Astyanax mexicanus: one gene and its partner. The protein of the gene in region 2 purifies or fractionates together with the protein of the main gene of each other region. This does not show direct contact. Links are inferred from orthologs where the notes say so. Each region holds a gene or a part of one and is shown on either strand. Other genes may lie near its edges. The genes, in order: ubr5 and zufsp.

Region 1 (8,724 bases), on a different chromosome or scaffold from region 2:
CACTGATCACTGACTTTATTTTTTATGTTTATTTGGGTTTAGTATTCTAATGTTATATAGAGTTAATTACAGGTAGACACTCTCACTGATCACTGACTTTATTCTTTATGTTTACTTGGGTTTAGTATTCTAATGTTATACAGAGTTATATAGAGCTAAACTCACCACACTTTGTAAGACTGCATGGAGTATGTGATGTAGATCAGCGTTTCTCAACCTTTTTTCTATCACGGCACCCTTTAAATATATGCGAGATGTCAAGGCACCCCAGTTTACGAACGGGGGGGGGGGGGTGCTGGCGCAGTACTTCAGGTGAGAACGAGGGGTGTTGCTGGCGGAATATGAAATAAAATAGCGCGTGCATCGCGTGGGGGGACAAAAACTTTACAGTGTGTCCCAATTTAGGGGCTGCATCCTTCAGAGGCTGTATTCGAAGACAGATTGCGTCACAGCTGCGCAGTAATACACCGCCTCTGTGGGTCGCATCCTTCAGAGTATGCTGCCTGTGAATTGGGACACACCCCGACACGAGCTGACTCTGGAAAGGAAATATGCACGTGAGGCGCAATATTTTGACGGCACCCCCGATGAAGCCAGACGGCACCCCAGGGTGCCGCGGCACCCTGGTTGAGAAACACTGCTGTAGATGATGAATCTGTAGAATAATGGTTCAGTGCTATTGCGCCATCTGCTGGTTACTAAAGCTAACACACTGTTACTACAGCAGCTGTATCTGTTTATTATAGACATATTTAGAGGCTTGTTCAGTACGCTATGATATTCATTTTTTGCATTTGGACCATATGTGCATTACTTTACTCAGCACACCACACTGCTGAAAAAAAATATATTTTTATTTGAATATTAGTCAAATTTGAGTAAAATTTACTTTTTAAAAAATCCGCAATTTTTTTGCATTTGCGTTTTTTAAGTAAATTTAATTTCAGCGAATTTAAGTAACGTCGGGTAAGAATCGGGTGTCAGGATCGCCAACATGGCGGAAGATTTTGGCTTCATTTTCAGTGAATGAATGGGAACGGAGACACGACGTCCATCTTTTTTTACAGTCTCTGCTAAAACCAAATAAACATTAATAAAGTCAGTTATCAGTGAGAGTATCTACCTGTAATTAACTCTATATAACATTAGAATTAGCTCAGTACAGAATTAGCTCAGTACAGAATTAGCTTAGTACAGAATTAGCTCAATACAGAACCAGTTCAATACAGAATTAGCTCAGTAAAGAAATAGCTCGGTATAAAATTAGCTCAGTACTAAATAAGCTTAGTATAGAATTAGCTCAGTACAGAATTAGCTCAGTATAAAATAAGCTCAGTGCTAAATAAGCTTAGTGTAGAATTAGCTCAGTACAGAACTAGCTTAAAACAGAATTAGTTCAGTACAGAACTAGCTCGGTACTGAATTAGCTCAATACAGAACTAGCTCAGTACAGAATTAGCTCAGTACAGAATTAGCTCAATACAGAATTAGCTCAGTACAGAATTAGCTCAGTACAGAATTAGCTCAGTACATAATTAGCTTGATACAGAATTAGCTCAATACTTTATTAGCTCAGTACAGAATTAGCTCAACACAGAATTAGCTCAGAACAGAACCAGTTCAATACTGAATCAGCCTGAATTCAGAACCAGTCTTCCTAAATCACACAGCTTGAAACAGCTTGACTCAAGTAGAAGTATTGCCAATACATTAGGGCTCAATAATAAATCATATTTCTCTCTGATATAAATTGTTTTGTGATATAAATCATGCTGTTGAGAGCTGGTAGACTGAGCGTGACATGGTGAGCTCATGGTTAACAACATCAGGTACCTGTTTGGGATTAAAAACCGCTGAGCAGCAGTTGGTCTCAACGTACAAGTCAAATTACAGCCTCCTCTCTTTCTCCTGTAATCTGAGAGAGGTGTTCACACGCTTTGTGTCTCTCAGGTCCCTGTAGACCCCCCACCCATCTGCCTCCCCAGGGGTACGTTAGTGACAGGTTTAAGTGTTATACCCGTAAACGCTCCTGTTGCTCCTGTTCTGATTTGCAACCCTAAATAAGTGACAAATTGTGATCCGACAGACCATTATTCCATAAAGAATGAAAACCTGCAAAAAAAAAATTGTTTGGTATCCATCATTTGATTGGTTTCAGTTTCATCCAAAAAGTGTTTTGGTGCATATTAAGCTAAATAGCTAAAGGCTAAAGCTGTTGCCATGTGGGTCAGCCAGACGTCTTCCTGTAGCAGTTTTCTCTTGTTTCCAAGAGTCTTGTGAAGGTGTAGAAAACAGTACTCACTGCTCTTTCTCTAAAGAAAAGACTTGTATTTTAATAGTGACAAAGTTCTCTGTGTTTTTGTGTCTTTGTCTAATTATTATGATGAAAGTGTGAATGTGCTGTGTGTAAATGTTGTAGTACAGACAAAGAAAACTGACATTTCCCATTGCTCTTCACTAGCTGTAAGCTGTTAAGCAAAAAAAGTTTAACAAAAAAAAAATCACCCCCTCCGTTTTTGACAAAAAAAAAAAAAATTCTTCAGTTTTTAGTTTATTTGTTTTCCTCAAAGACAATTTTGTACATTAGATTTCTAGTTATTGACTGGACCTAAAGAGCTTAAATGGCAAAGAAAAAGAGGGAAAATGGGGTGTTTTATAATTTTTTTTTTTTATTATTATTCAATAATGGTATTAATAATATTAGAATTTTACATTATGCTTCCCCCGTTATCTTTAAACTCTTCAGGTCCAGTCAATAACCAATAATCCTACAAAATCCAGTGTATTTTAGTGTTTATTTCTTTTATTGTTGATGATTATGACTTACAGCCAATGAAAACCCAAAAATAAGTATCTATAAAATATTATATAAGACCATTTGGTACTTTTGGGAGTTTGGGCAGTGTGCCAAGTCCTGCTGGAAAATGAAATCGGCAACTCCATGAAAGTTGTCAGCAGAGGGAAGCATGAAGTGCTGTAAGATTTTGTGAGAAAACACTGCACTAAAACACAGTGGATCAACACCAGCAGATGACATGTCTCTCCAAACCATCACTGATTGGTGGAAACTTCACACTAATAATTTTATAATAATACATATATATTTTATATTATATTTATTTTACTCAATAAAATAATAATTTAAGAAGTTTAATACATTTACATGCATCATTTTTTTGAATGATATAATAATATAATACTTAATAATAAATTACCTTGCATAAGTTTATTTTACTCAGTAATATATAATAATAAAATAAATGTAATACATTCATACAAATCAGGTTATTTTACTCAATAATGTAACAAAATATTAACTTAATTTAGGAAAATTTAGTAAATAAAATTAACTAACACGCATTAGTTTATTTTACTCAGTAATATATAATAATTAATAAATGTAATAAATTAACGTGAATCCTAATACAGCACTGTGACATCACTACCAGCAGCAGCAGAAGCAGCAAGAGGCCACGCCCCCAGCTCCTTTCTCTCTTAGCGCTGCTCCAATCAGCTTCCAGCATTTGCTGCCAGATCCCGCAGGTCCAACCAGCTCGGCTGTTGTTTCGGAGCCGGGCGGCCCACGGTTGGACCGCTGCGCTGCTCTGCACACAAAACCAGCAGCAGGCTGGCGGAGCTGAGATGGCGGCGTGTGGGTGAGGAGGCGGTTGTGTGATCGGAGCGCGGCGTTTCTGGAGCGGAATACAGAGAGTTTATACAGCGGAGCGGCGCAGGAGGCCAGCACGCGGTGCGCACACTGCAGCCCGGACTACGGCTCGCGTTAGGCCCGCGTTCCGGAGCGACCATGACCTCCATACACTTCGTGGTTCACCCGCTGCCCGGGACCGAGGACCAGCTCAATGACAGGTAGCCCGGCTAACGGAGAGAGAGAGCGGGGGGGAAAACACACACTCCCCGCTGATTTTACACACCCTGCGCTCATACTAAACACACACACATACTAATAAACTGTATTACAGGGGTTTATCCGCATTAATCCGCTGTTTTTACCCGGTTTTAACCTGTAATAATGCGCCGGGGCCCGGCTACTTCTGCTGCTTCATTCTAGAGAAGCTAGTTAGCTAATGCTAGCGTGAGCCGGTGTGCTGCCGAATTGTGCTACCCTGTCAAATCCTGCTACCATGGTGCATATCTAACTACAGGTCAAGTTGCCTAGGTTAAGTAGATAAATAGGTCAGTTAGGTCAGTGTTACGCCTGGCTATCAGTTTTCAGATTAATCTAAGTAAGGTTAAATAAATCTGGTAAATACAAAAATAAGGAAAATTAAGATTAGATTCTTTTGTTTATTTGGTTTATAACTTCACATTTTTATGATGCAACGTTTGGAAAACAAAAAAGTCTCACAAAAGATTGTGAGTACAGATCCTCTTTATCTTAACTATTGTAAATAAATTAGAAATACATTGAAATACATAAATACAAATAGTTTTGCACCTAGTTTTCTCTTTTACAAATTCTGCCTTACAGCAGCCAGACATTTGAACTGATATATTAAGTAGTTAAGACAAAAGCTACAAAAGTAATTTCTTATATTATGTATACCATCAAATTTTAAATGTTGATCTTTTTTTTTAGAAAGATTTGCTAAAATAATGGAACACAGTTTTCTGTTTATAAATTCTGCCTCAAAGAGTTGCAAAAATTGAGCTGATAAGATACATTGACCTAAATAAACCAACATAAGTAATTAGGTTACAATCAGATTTTCGTTAAAAAAAAAAAAAAAAATCATTGTCCAGAAGATTTGCTAGGAAAATGGAAACAGAAAAATTTAGCCAATTTTCTGTTTTTAAAAATTGTAAAATCATTCAATCATGAAGATTTGTTAGAAAAATGGAAAGATGCAAATACAACCAATTATCTAACTTAAAGTGTCAGAATATTTGAGCCAATAAATAATACATAAACCTAAATAAACCATCTTACGTAATTAGACAAAAGTTACAAAAGTCGTTTATATTATTAATACCATCAGATAAATAAAACATGCAAATACAGCCAATTTTCTGTTTTTAAATTCTCTCTCAAAGGGTCAGAAAATTTAAACTGTTGTATTGAAGAATTGTAACAAAAAAGGTTATAATAAACCACAGAAAAACGAATCAAAACACACAAAGTTGTCCTGAAACACACACCAAAACACTAAAAATATCAGTTGACGCATGCGCAGAGGCACGGAGTAACACAAACAGATGGGTGGTACAAATAGACCCAACACCATAGTGATGGACAATGCGGGTTGGGGGATGGGGAGAAAAAAGAGGGAACGGGGACAAATCGCGCTTATTAGCGATTACTTTCTTTACGTTTAAAAGCGTACGGGCTTTAACTGTTTAGAAAACCCCCATATCGATGTTGTCGCGGCCGTAACTGATCGATAATCGATAGAAGAATCGAGTTTGGCTGCGCGAGGAGCGGGACGCTTTAGCTTAGCGTAGCATAGCTTTAGCTTAGCATAGTTTAGCTTTAGCTTAGCATAGTTTAGCTTTAGCTTAGCCTAGTTTAGCATAGCTAGCTGAACTGTTAACGGTGGTTTAGCGGACTATCCGGCGCCAGCCGGCTAATTAACCATAAAAATAAGGATATTAAACGTATAATCTCTCACAATCAGGCTATAAATGTTTCCAGAAATGAGAATAATTAATATTAAACTGCTTTTTATCCCGGTGGTTGATTAGCTAAGCAGGTTGGCTAGTTAAAAAAACACAAACATGAAGGAAGAAGAAGGCCCTGCAGTATCAGATTATTCAGTTTATTCAGTTTTATTTAGTTTATATTTAGTTTATTAGGTATAACTCTCTGCTTTTCTCTTCTGTCTTGTGCTTTTAAATGTAATAGGGGGTAAAATCTACATTATTATGAGCGCAGTAACTACATTTTTGTGTTCTTTTATTTAACTACAGGGGGTCGTGGGCTGCTACAACATGGTGTTAGAGCCGCCTGGCTCTGGTAATTTATGGGTTACTTATCTATTAATATCAATATCAAATCAATAACTAGCAATATAACTCCTGTTTGAGATCATATACAAGAGTTTTACACAAGAAACCTCATCAATTTGTTTGTCACTTTGTGAAAAATGTCCCATTTCAATGAATGTTTAGCTTTTAAAAATGGAGACAAATGGGCAGAGTACTCTAGTTGTATTTACATCATAATATCGGTATTAAGCACATATACATATTTACACAGTAGGGGTGTGCCTAGGGCTGGGTGATATGGATTAAAACTAATACAGACACTTTTATAAAAGTTCAGCTTGAGATTAACACGAGATATATGAACATTCAATCAGTATAAGCTACATTCTTTAGCTATAACATGGTGTTAAAGCGGGTTAGTGGTGTTAGTGGGTTACTTATCTATTAACATCAATACCAAATCAATAACTAGCATTTGAAACTCCAATTTAAAATCATATACAAGAGTTTTATACATACGTTTGTGAAAGTGACCTGTTTGTATGGATGTTTAGCTGATTTAGATCAATTAAGCTTTTAAAATAGAAATAAATTGACATTCCTCTTGTATTTGTATTTGCAGTTTATTATTGGCATTAAGCACAAACTGTCAACTCATCCTCTATCGAGATAAACTACCTTTTTATGTGATTAAATACACATAAAAATACACATGTCTCTTGCTGTTTTTGTGTTTGTGGATTACGTAGCTATTTATATCAATACCAAATCAATAACTAGCAATGTAATTATTATTTTAGTTCATATACAAGAGTTTTACACGAGAAACCTCATCAGTTTGTGAAAAATTACCTGTTAAAATAGATGTTTAGCTGATTTAGATCAGTTAAGCTGTGGAAACAGAAGTAAATTGACAGCAGAGTACTCTAGTTGTATTCACATTCTAATATTGGTATTAAGCACAAACTGTTGGAACTCATTGGAATTCAACACTGTCCAAATTGATATAAACTACATTTTTTGTGTTATATTATTTAACTAAAGGGTGTCTTTAGCAGAAACATGGTGTTAGAGCTTACTGGTTCTGGTTGTTTTTGTGTTAGCGGGTTAATTACCTATCAGTATCAATAACTAGCAGTATAACTCCAATTTGAGACCACATACAAGATTTTTGCACAGGAAATGTTTTTTTTTTTGCCTCATCAATGTTTAGCTTTGGAAATGGAAACAAATGGGCAGAGTACTTAAGTTGTATTTAAATTCTAATAATGGTATAAAGAACATTTGCATACAGCTCTGGGGATATAAATGAGAGACCACTTAAAATTTAGTTTCTTTGATTTTACATGTGAATTTAATTTGAATTACATGTATGCTGTCCGACTCATTAGTCCACAAATCCATATAAATGATGAATATTCACATGAAGAGTCTCTCTTAATTTTTTTATTTTCACCTGAAATTAATTCATTTTTAATATTGACTAAGTTTGTTAATCTTATTTTAAGTTTTAGGTTTTAAGATATGTTTTACTATCTCATTTGTTTATTCATTTAAACATCAATTTCAGTGTTTTAAAGCATTATATAAGCTTGTTTTAAACATAAGTGTGTGCTGTCCATCTCATTATTCCACAAATCCATATGAAGAATTTTTTTGATTTTCTATTTTTTTTTTTTACCTGAAAATAATTCTAACATTGACTCATTTTATTTGTTAATTTTAGTTTTATGAGTTTTTAGGTTTTAAGAAATATTTTCTTCACTGTCTTAATTGTTTATTAATTAAAACATAAATTTTAGTGCTTAAATAAGATCATTTTAAACGTGCCTATGTGTGTGCTGTCCGTCTCCTTATTCCAAAAATGCATATGAAGGCCTGATATATTATATGCATTCCAGATCGTTCTTCGCATGTGCCATCTCTTTATTGTTTATAATGTGTTTGAGGTTGAGCATTGCAACTTAGACAAGCAAGAGGACTTTCTGATTTTCTGCTAGTTTTGACTCTCAGTTGTTTATTCATTTAAACGCAAATTTTAGTGATGTAAAACATTTATATAAGCTTGTTTTGAACATACATTCATGTGTGCTGTCCGACTCCTTATTCCACAAATCTTGATTTGTAAATGCCTAAAATATGTTACCATGACTCTGCTGACATTCTTAATGTGGTGGAGATCAGCACTGCAACCCAGGCAAGCAAGGGGATTTTCTGATTTTCTGCTAGATAATTATCTTCGCAAAAAAACAACAACTTGAGTTTTAGTTGCTTTTGTTTGAGCCTCTATTGTCTAGGTAAAGCTTAATAGTGTGTTTTAGGGCACTGTGGAGAGAATTTGATTGAAAGCGATACCAAGAGTGTCATTGAGTGAATGGATATTTTGAGTCTCCACCATTTAAATGGGCAGAAATGTTAAAAAGTGGTGAATTTTTCCTTTAAGCCTGACGTCAGCTGGGCTGGAAGTGATGTTATGGTGTTATTACAGTGCAGTCTGGGCCGTGACTAAGCTTAGAGAGTGCTCTGCATATTGATTTATACTCATTGTTCTGTGGCTGGCAGTGAAGGTAATGAATCATATGGGTCACATACTGAATTTCTGTATGTGCAAACATGTGTTTAATGATACTACGCAGGTTTGATGAGGATCACCTTGTTGTTTTGAAGGTCCGCAGGCTTTCAGCAGGCTGTTTATGTTCTGGTTTACTCTATGCTGGACTATAATTAGCAGTGTGATTTTTAATTTGACACATTATATTGTGTGAGCATATTCAGCACGCT
Region 2 (8,724 bases):
TACACATTTGCACTCCACACGTCTACCATGACTTGAGTGTAAATAATACAGTCACACATTTAGATAAGGTGTGCTGCTGATTAATACTGAAGAAAAGAAACTTTATTTTTCATGTCAGTTTGTATAATTAAATATTCTGCACTGATTTCTTTAGTTTAGTAGTGACTTTTTACAACATTACCTTTTACAGGGTGTTGAATATCTTATAAATTGATATGACTGACCTACCTGACCTTCCTTGGTACCACCTACCAAGGTGTGCAGTTCTCCTCACTGGTAAAACAGAGCGTTTCTGTGATAGTTTTATATTATATTTTAAGCTCCACTGTAAAACTATCCCAGACTGCAAATTCTAAATAGACTCTTTAGTTTATCATTTGAGAACTCTCCTCAGTGCTGCTGGCAGGGCAATAACATCTGTTATTGACATATTAAGGACACCAGACCCGAAACTCAATTGTCATAAATGGACATGATTATGTGTCCTACGTCTAATACACATTATCGCATCTTTATGATAGAACAGAATAACTGCATAATGCTTTGCTGATATTTCCATCAATTTACCTGCAGCAGCAGCCGTGCCATACTCCAGATGCAGCTCTACATGCTCCTGCAGCGAGCTGTTGTCCACACAGACCAAGGAACACAACGGACACTCGTACAGTGGAAAACCTACCGGTTCCAAATTAAAGCCCAGGTAATGCACAGCTGAATTTAAGCAATACAATGCATTTCCATTTTAGACACATTTTTTTAATTCATGCACCAATCCAATCAAATATCTTTTTTCACCTGGTTCTCCGTTTCTCACAGAAGAACATGCCTGTGCTGATGCTCCTGCTTCAGGAACAGCTCCTGAAAACAACAAAATAGCATATGCAATACTGCCTATATAGTAAGATTTATGGCTACGGCACAGAAAAACAACAGTGTTAATAGTATTATACCCTACTTGGATGCAATTCATTTTACAGTAAATGTTACATCAGTAAAATACACTTATAATCAAAAATGAATTGCACACAGAATTATGGCTGCACAATATATCATTTCAGCATCGATATTGCAATGTATATATTTTGTATACAGAACTAGTTTGCTGCTTAAGAAATAAAAATCAAACTATTCTTATTTTACATAATAATATCTACCAGATAAACAATTATATCTACCAGGTACCATTTATTTTACTCCAATCATTGGTGCACCGATTGCATTATTATTATTATCATGACGTACTGGATTATTGACAAGACAGATTGTAAATTAATACTAAAGCTATCCAGACTATGAAGAAAAGCATATGGAACAAAAAACAAATGTTGAAGAAAGCAGAATCTGTTTTATACTTTAGATTCTTCAAAGTAGCACCTCTTGCTTAGATAGAAACAGCTTTGCACATCTTGGCTGGATTTTCTCAGTCAGCTTTATGAGGTAGAGTCACCTGGATTGATCAGCTTTCGGTTAACAGCTGTGCTGAACTTGTCAAGAGTGAATTACTTGAATTTCTCTTCCTCTCATTGTGTTTGAGAGCATCAGTTGTGTTGTGGAGAGGGAGAGTTGGTAAATTGTAATGTAAATTGCCATTAAGTATGCTTATTATTTCTATATTATTCATTTATTTATTAGTATTTGCTTCTGTTAGTATAAATATATTGGTTTCTGTATTGTGACCTGCCACAGGACAGCTTTAAAACACGAGGCAGTGGACAGACTTGTCTTCCTGGCCCGCAGCCTGTAGTAGGGTATGTCTGGTGTGAAAATTTGACAGCACTAATAGACAGGACTGCACTAATGAGGATTTATTGAGCACAACTGAGTAAATTATATGTTCTCTTTTGTTTACATTGGAAAGTTGCTTGAAGATTTTGTTATAAAAAGAAAAGAATACTTTATTTTGTATGATAGGTTTTATTGATTTGGAACTGACCAAAGAATTTAGTTCTCTGCCTACTTTTTTATTCTGTAACATCTGATCTTTGAATGAAGTGTTATGCTTTTATTTATTTATTTATTTATATATATATTATAGTTATATAATGTTCATTTGTTACCTTCTGACTAAATAACTCCCTTATCTCTCACTTATGAGTAAAAAGAACCCTTTAAGTGTGACAGTGATTGATTTATATGGTGATACATATCGATATCGACTGACACGGAAAACTATATTGTGATAAGATTATTTTTTCCATTTCACCAAGGTCCTATTCTTGAGCACCTCTGTACACTCTGAGAAAATAGGCAATATTTAATAATATTTAACAAATAAATAGAAGAATCTATACAGACCCAGGAGCATCATAGCACATTTACACCAGACTAAAATCACTGAAAAACACCAGTAACAATCGCTATACTACCTTCAGATGCAGATGAAGCCTGGTCCTGGAGATGCAGCTCAACGTGTTCCTGAAGAATAAAGCAGTCACTGCAGACCAGACTGCAGAACGGACAGGGAAACATCCTCTCTGCAACAAAACGACCATAAATAACCAAACATATCCAAACAAAGGCCACTATAAAATAAATATAAGAATATATTAAGACATTTTATTGATGAATACCTTTCTTGGGGGAGGACAGGCGTTTCTGTTTGGCCTTGCAATGCTCTGCTGAGTAATCCTCAGACTGCCCAGGGTGGACGCTGGATGTTTGTTTTTTAGATGCGCTTGCTGTGCTTGCCGCAGGAGGTGAGGATTTAATCCTGGACTGGGCTCCTTGACCTTGAGTAAGTGCAATTCCTGCACTAGGCGCAGCCGTCTCATTAGCTGTTTTGAGAGTGTGATGACCTGATGTTTGAGGGGAAGCTGGAGTTCTCCATGAGTTACAAGAGGCTGGCGAATTCTTCACAGTCCATTTAGCACCATTGGTTTCAGTGGGGTCTGGTACCCGATCTGCTGATGCCTTGTCAGTGGGTGAGTTCTGAAGATCCATCTCTGTGTGTGCAGTACTAATGTGGAAGTTCAGCTCATCGTAGGAGACTCCTGATAGCGAGCAAAACGGACAGCTCATCTCATTTTCCAGGTGGCTCAGAAGGAGGTGGGTTTTTAATTCTGATTCAGATGCAAACTCTTGGCAGCAGATGTCACAAACAGGCATGGTGGGACAGCTTCTGTCAGTGGAGTACATAGTAAACGTGCAGAATCAGTAAGTGTTTCATGAAGCATCTCAAAATTGTACTGTTATAATATTATATTATATTATAATAATGTGCTTTTTAAAGGGGCGTAAAAGTGCTTCTCCCACTGCATTACATTAAAAGTCTCTCAGGGGCTACTTTTCAGTAGTGTATCACTTGGTGAGAGATTGTTGACTGCTAGACCTGCTTCTACAATGCATGTGAAGACATTTGCCAAGTTCACTTCAAAATGGGGTACATCAATGGACTCAGCAAAGCAGGATGGTCATTTTTGACAAACCATAAGCCAGTCATCCAGCAAACGTCGCCCTTTACAGTGGTGTTGTGACCAGGAAACCTGGACTGATAAGGACTAAAACCTTATTGACTTTAAGAAAAGCCTCAACCGCTGGGTGATACAACAGACAACCACTAAAATGTGCCACGTGATGCCTCTCACGGCAGGGCTTCCAACTGGAACAGTTGGAACAGGATAATGCTAACTCATTAAGGGTTTTAAACTCATCAAGGGTTTTACCAGGAATGCCTATTGCAACACTTCCTTGGCCAACTAAATTACCATATTTATCAACAATTGGGCAACCAGTTTGGTAAAGATTGTTATAAGGGTTGACCAGCTTATTCAGACTGGTTATTCTGGCTAACCTGCTTGGTAAGGCTAGTCTTGGTGGTCAACCTGCTTGGTCAGGCTGGGTATTGTGGCCAACCAGCTTGGTTGTGCTGATCATACAGGTCAACATGCTTGGTCAGGATGGTTATCCTGGCTAACCTACTTGGTCAGGATGGTCTTGATGGTCAACCAGTTTTGTCAAGCTGGTTATTCTGACCAACCAGCTTGGTCAGGGTGGTTATTCTGGCTAACATACTTGGTCAGGCTGGTTTTGTTGGTCAACCAGCTTGGTAATGAATGTTATGAAGGTTGACCAGCTTGGTCAGGCTGGTTATTCTGGTTAACCTGATTGGTCAGGCTGGTCTTAACGGTTAACCAGTTTGGTCAGGCTGGTTATTCTGGCCAACCAGCTTGATAATGCTGGTCATACAGGTCAACTTGCTTTGTCAGGCGGGTCTTGCTGGTCGATCAGCTTGGTCAGGCTGGTTATTCTGGCTAACCTGCTTGGTCAGGATGGTCCTGCGGGTCAACCGGCTTGGTATTATTTGTTTTGAAGATTGACCAGCTTGTACATGCTGGTTATTCTGGATATCCAGCTTGGTCGCAGAGCATGGTCAAGTTTGGATATCTAGCTAGCTTTTTTTGGTTTGTCATGCTTGTAGAGCAACTAAACCATCAAAGTCTGTGTTAACAAAAACAGAAACATACTCTACATTGGACAAAATCTAAACTGGTCAACCGGCTTAGCTTAACCAGCTGGAGCTGTGCAGTTTTGTTTACAGCAGGGATCTAAATCTAAATAAACACTCCCACATGCAAGTTCGTGCACTAGAAGTCAGAAATATGTTGCTTTTTTAATCAAACGAGGACGATGGCATGTTTTAGACAGAATGAATGAGCCCCTTCAATGTATTCAATCATATTCAACCATTCAGAGACAATAGAAACACACAGATAAACCTCCAGCATATCTAGCTACATTTAAATGGTGTAGGTTAAATACTTACTCGAGTTGTTTTAACCTGTTAATCAGTTTTTCTCGCTGCACCTCAGGTTCTCCGGGTTCTCATTTCACTGAAACTCAGCCTCTTTATTTTCGTTTTCCTCGCCTGACCCGCTGGAAACATCGCGGGAAGTGACGCGCTTCTCGGCCGTAACCTGGGGACGCCATATTGCCCTCCTCAGCCGGAGTGAATCGGGAAGGAGGCGAGAGGAACGGAACAGCAAATAAAACACGAAAAAAGCGACTATCCGCACAGGACTGGGGTCTAGAAGTGAACAGGTGAGCCTCAGTCACCGTCCGGTGTGACTTTAGGTTGGGTTAAGGGTGATTAGGGGCTTTAATTACGCTGAGAAAGGAGGGCAGAGGCGGAGTGACGTAGGTTAGCTAGCTTAGCATTAGCTCTGCTAACCTAGCGTTAGGTTAGCACTAGCGAGCAAAGCTGGTATATTTGGGTTGCGAAACCAAGAAAAAACAGATAAATTTCCTTCTTAGTGCGGATTAAAACACATTGTTCCCAGTTACATTGGTTTACCAGCTTGTAATGCTAACATACATCTTAGTTGGGTGCTGTTTAATGCTCCAAAATGCTGGAGTTGCCTTCTTAATCTAATTGTCCGTTCCACCTTATACAGGGCAGCAGTGCCAGCTAAATCCTGCAGACTCCAGAATTTAACTGCTCATATATGTTTATGGTAACTACTCTACTCTTTAAGGTGGAATGGGTGGGTTCAGTTTTGTGTTGCCCCACCTGGCATCTAGCTAGCTAGCTTAGTTAGCTAACGCTAGCTATCATAGCTTACTAATAAACCAGCTGTTATTTAGCGCTACCAGTTTTAGAACTCAAAATCCCACCTGATTTATTTTTTAAATACAGATTAACTTTTAAATACAGTACATTTTTAAGCTGTATAGTTAATATAACTTGTGGTATTTCTATAATATTGGCTGCTGAGACTAGCTAGCTAATGTTAGCATACAGTTATGCTAATGTGTTTAGTATAACTATATTCAGCTTTTCCATATTAAAATAAATAAAATAAAAACAGTTTGAGATTTTTTTAATCATTATTTAATGTTCTGTCTACACCACTTAAAGGATTGTTAAATATTGTTGTGCTTTAAAAGTGTCTTTAAGGGGCACTAAACCCCCTGATTTTTGATGACCCCACCTTCAGCTCAAATTTGGAAAAAGGCTAAAAATTGGAAGGGGCGTTGAGTGATGTATGGGTTTAGAGGTGCGGCAGGAGAGAGAGCTGATTGGCTGAGCTACTGCTGCAGCAGTATGCCTCTGATAGCAGTGAGACCCAGATGATTGGACGTCAGCAGGGGGGCGTTATTATTAATTGTCTGATCTGCATATTGTGAGTGTTAATAGTCACATATTAAAATAACTGATGTTATGTAAGAGCCAAAAATCTAAATTGTAATCGAAAAGAAAGTCGAAAGAATTTATGGATATTGATGACATTTTTGAGCCATCATCATGTAGTGCAAGTTTTAAATGTGAAATAAAAATGTCTGGAATTTTATATACTTATAAACTTGAAACTTTTGCACAGCGTGCAAGACCAATTTGATCAGCTTTTGCTGTATGACCACTAGGACAACAAAAATGGCGAGTCCAGGAAAAGACAGTTATCGAATGAAAAGCTACAAGAACAAGGCCCTGAACCCGCAGGAGATGAGAAGACGGAGGGAGGAAGAGGGCATCCAGCTGCGGAAACAGAAGAGAGAAGAACAGGTAGGCCTGTAAAGCAGTATTACTCAAGTACACTTTGTTGCAGAATCAGACAAATCCAAAGGGTGGAATTGGACCACGTCCAGTGGTTTGTTCCTATTAATTCGTATTAGTCTGAAATCCTGTAATATTTCCTCCTAATCTCTTTCTCTCTTGCTCTTACTCACACACATACACACAGGCTGTTTTTAGCTCAGAAATGATAAACTCCCGAAAGTTTTAAATACTCTTCTTACCCATGTTTTTAGCAGTTACACTCTGCCCTTCAGCTTCATTTAGTAGCTTGCTCCTGTACTTATGTTAAAAGTAACATTACCTCAACCAGGAAAACTGTAATTTATCCTGTGTTCTTCTAAAGCTAGGCAGTGTAATTGTAATAGATGTCCCACCTCTTACATGACTCCAGATTCTCCTGCATGCCAACCACAAATCATATTATATAATATCTTGGGGCAATCGAGCAAAACAGAGTGACCAACATTTGTTGTAGGCATGTGACAAGGAGAGCATCCTAATTGATCTCACATTGTGCTCAGTAGATCATTACAGAATTTAACACAGACATGACTCACATGAGAGATCTCATGTAGTTACAAATTAATGAATATAGGCATAATCTGGATTTGGTAAACAACTATGCTTTGTTTCATTTAGGCCAACAATTTTTGTACATACGATTCATATGATGGGCAGGTGCCTTCCTTTTGATGTTTCTTAGAAAGGTCTCTGGGTTTTCGGATCAGCACTAGCAGAAATCTGACGTCTGGTGTTCAAACAATGCAACTGCATGAGATTTCATAGTAACAGAATGTGGAATTGCCTGTTTCAGCCATGCACAACGTATAAGTTTATATATACAGCTCTGGGAAAAAATAAAAGCCACTTCAAAATAAGTTTCTTTGATTTTACCAAATTGAAAACCTCTGAAATATAATCAAGAGGAAGATGAATTATCACAAGCCATCAAACCAAGCTAAGCTGCTTGAATTCTTGCACCAGGAGTGGCAAAAAGTTATCCAAAAGCAGTGTGTAAGATTGGTGGAGGAGAACATGCCAAGATACATGAAAACTGTGATGAAAGACCAGAGTTATTCCACCAAATATTAATTTCTGAACTCTTAAATCTTAATAAAAAATATTTACTTGTTTTCTTTTGCATTATTTGAGAATTATTAGGAATTTGGGAGATTTTAGTTTATAGAATAAAACAATTATGTTCATTTTACTCAAACTAATACCTATAAATATTAAAATTGTAAAACTGCTTTACAAACTAATGTGGTCTCTTATTTTTTTCCAGAGCTGTACATAAAATATGTATGTAGTTCAGCATATTTTTGCAATTAAATGACATATTGGTGAAAATGAAATTTCACATATTCATTTTGCAATTAATGATAAATTAAAACGATAAATTCAGAATACAAACAGTTGTATGTCTAGGTGGAGGATGTGAAAGATGTTATGCAAAACTTTTGCATAAGTTTTGCATAACTTTGTGTCCAAAATCTTTCAAACACTGTTTTGGTAACTGTGCACCATTACTAAAGTTTTACAAAAGCTCAAAAGAGTGTGATGTGACTAACATAAATAGTAAATAGCTTGTTATTTATGTATTTTATTTTTTTTATGTATTTAGTTTTTTTCACACAAATTACCTATGCAAGTTAAATATATATTTTTGGAATCACACACAGATGGTAACTTGTGAGATTATTTAGAATGTTTTTTTGTATCCTGTGTAAAATAGTTATGAATTTATCTTTCTTTTTATATATTATGTATTTTATTCCTGAACTGCAGCTGTTCAAGAGGAGGAATGTTTATGTGCCGCCGGGTGATGAGTCCATGTTAGAGTGCCCCATTCAGGATCCTGACGTCAGCTCCACTGTCCCCATATCAGGAGTAAGTGTATTATTAATGCTCCAAGTGCTGTTAATTGTTGGCTGGGAACTGGGAATACATGCTTTTATCCAGGAGAGCACTAGAAATGGTACATTCCCATTTCACCACTTTTACACTGTTAGCCTAATTCTTGTTAGGCTAGAGAGGTAGAGGGAAGTGTTAGAGCTACATGACAATGTTAAACTGAGATTTTGTGAGACAGACCAAAGAAGACCCACAAATTTGAGTATTTTCCTTGTTACAAGTTACACTAACCACAATATTACTATAATATAATGTGTAGTTTACATGTTTTCAGGCCTTTTCCCTCATAACAAGCATAA

What was found.
Region 1: the proteins of zufsp (region 2) and ubr5 purify together in Homo sapiens (affinity purification with mass spectrometry, with the first as the bait; 3 studies listed by BioGRID). This does not show direct contact. The link is inferred for Astyanax mexicanus from reciprocal best matches to the Homo sapiens genes ZUP1 and UBR5.

Annotation. Positions count from the first base shown.
Region 1 is NC_064408.1:122,133,345-122,142,068, reverse strand, and holds the start of ubr5 (E3 ubiquitin-protein ligase UBR5), read left to right. Parts: upstream 1-3,597; 5' UTR 3,598-3,805; coding exon 3,806-3,867; intron 3,868-8,724. UniProt on the Homo sapiens protein: E3 ubiquitin-protein ligase involved in different protein quality control pathways in the cytoplasm and nucleus. Mainly acts as a ubiquitin chain elongator that extends pre-ubiquitinated substrates.
Region 2 is NC_064411.1:31,758,928-31,767,651, forward strand, and holds the start of zufsp (zinc finger-containing ubiquitin peptidase 1), read right to left. Parts: upstream 4,897-8,724; 5' UTR 4,763-4,896; intron 3,119-4,762; 5' UTR 3,106-3,118; coding exon 2,571-3,105; intron 2,475-2,570; coding exon 2,367-2,474; intron 859-2,366; coding exon 796-858; intron 676-795; coding exon 568-675; intron 1-567. Other genes in the region: kpna5 (importin subunit alpha-6), read left to right, coding at 6,371-6,499, 8,300-8,401. UniProt on the Homo sapiens protein: Deubiquitinase with endodeubiquitinase activity that specifically interacts with and cleaves 'Lys-63'-linked long polyubiquitin chains. Shows only weak activity against 'Lys-11' and 'Lys-48'-linked chains.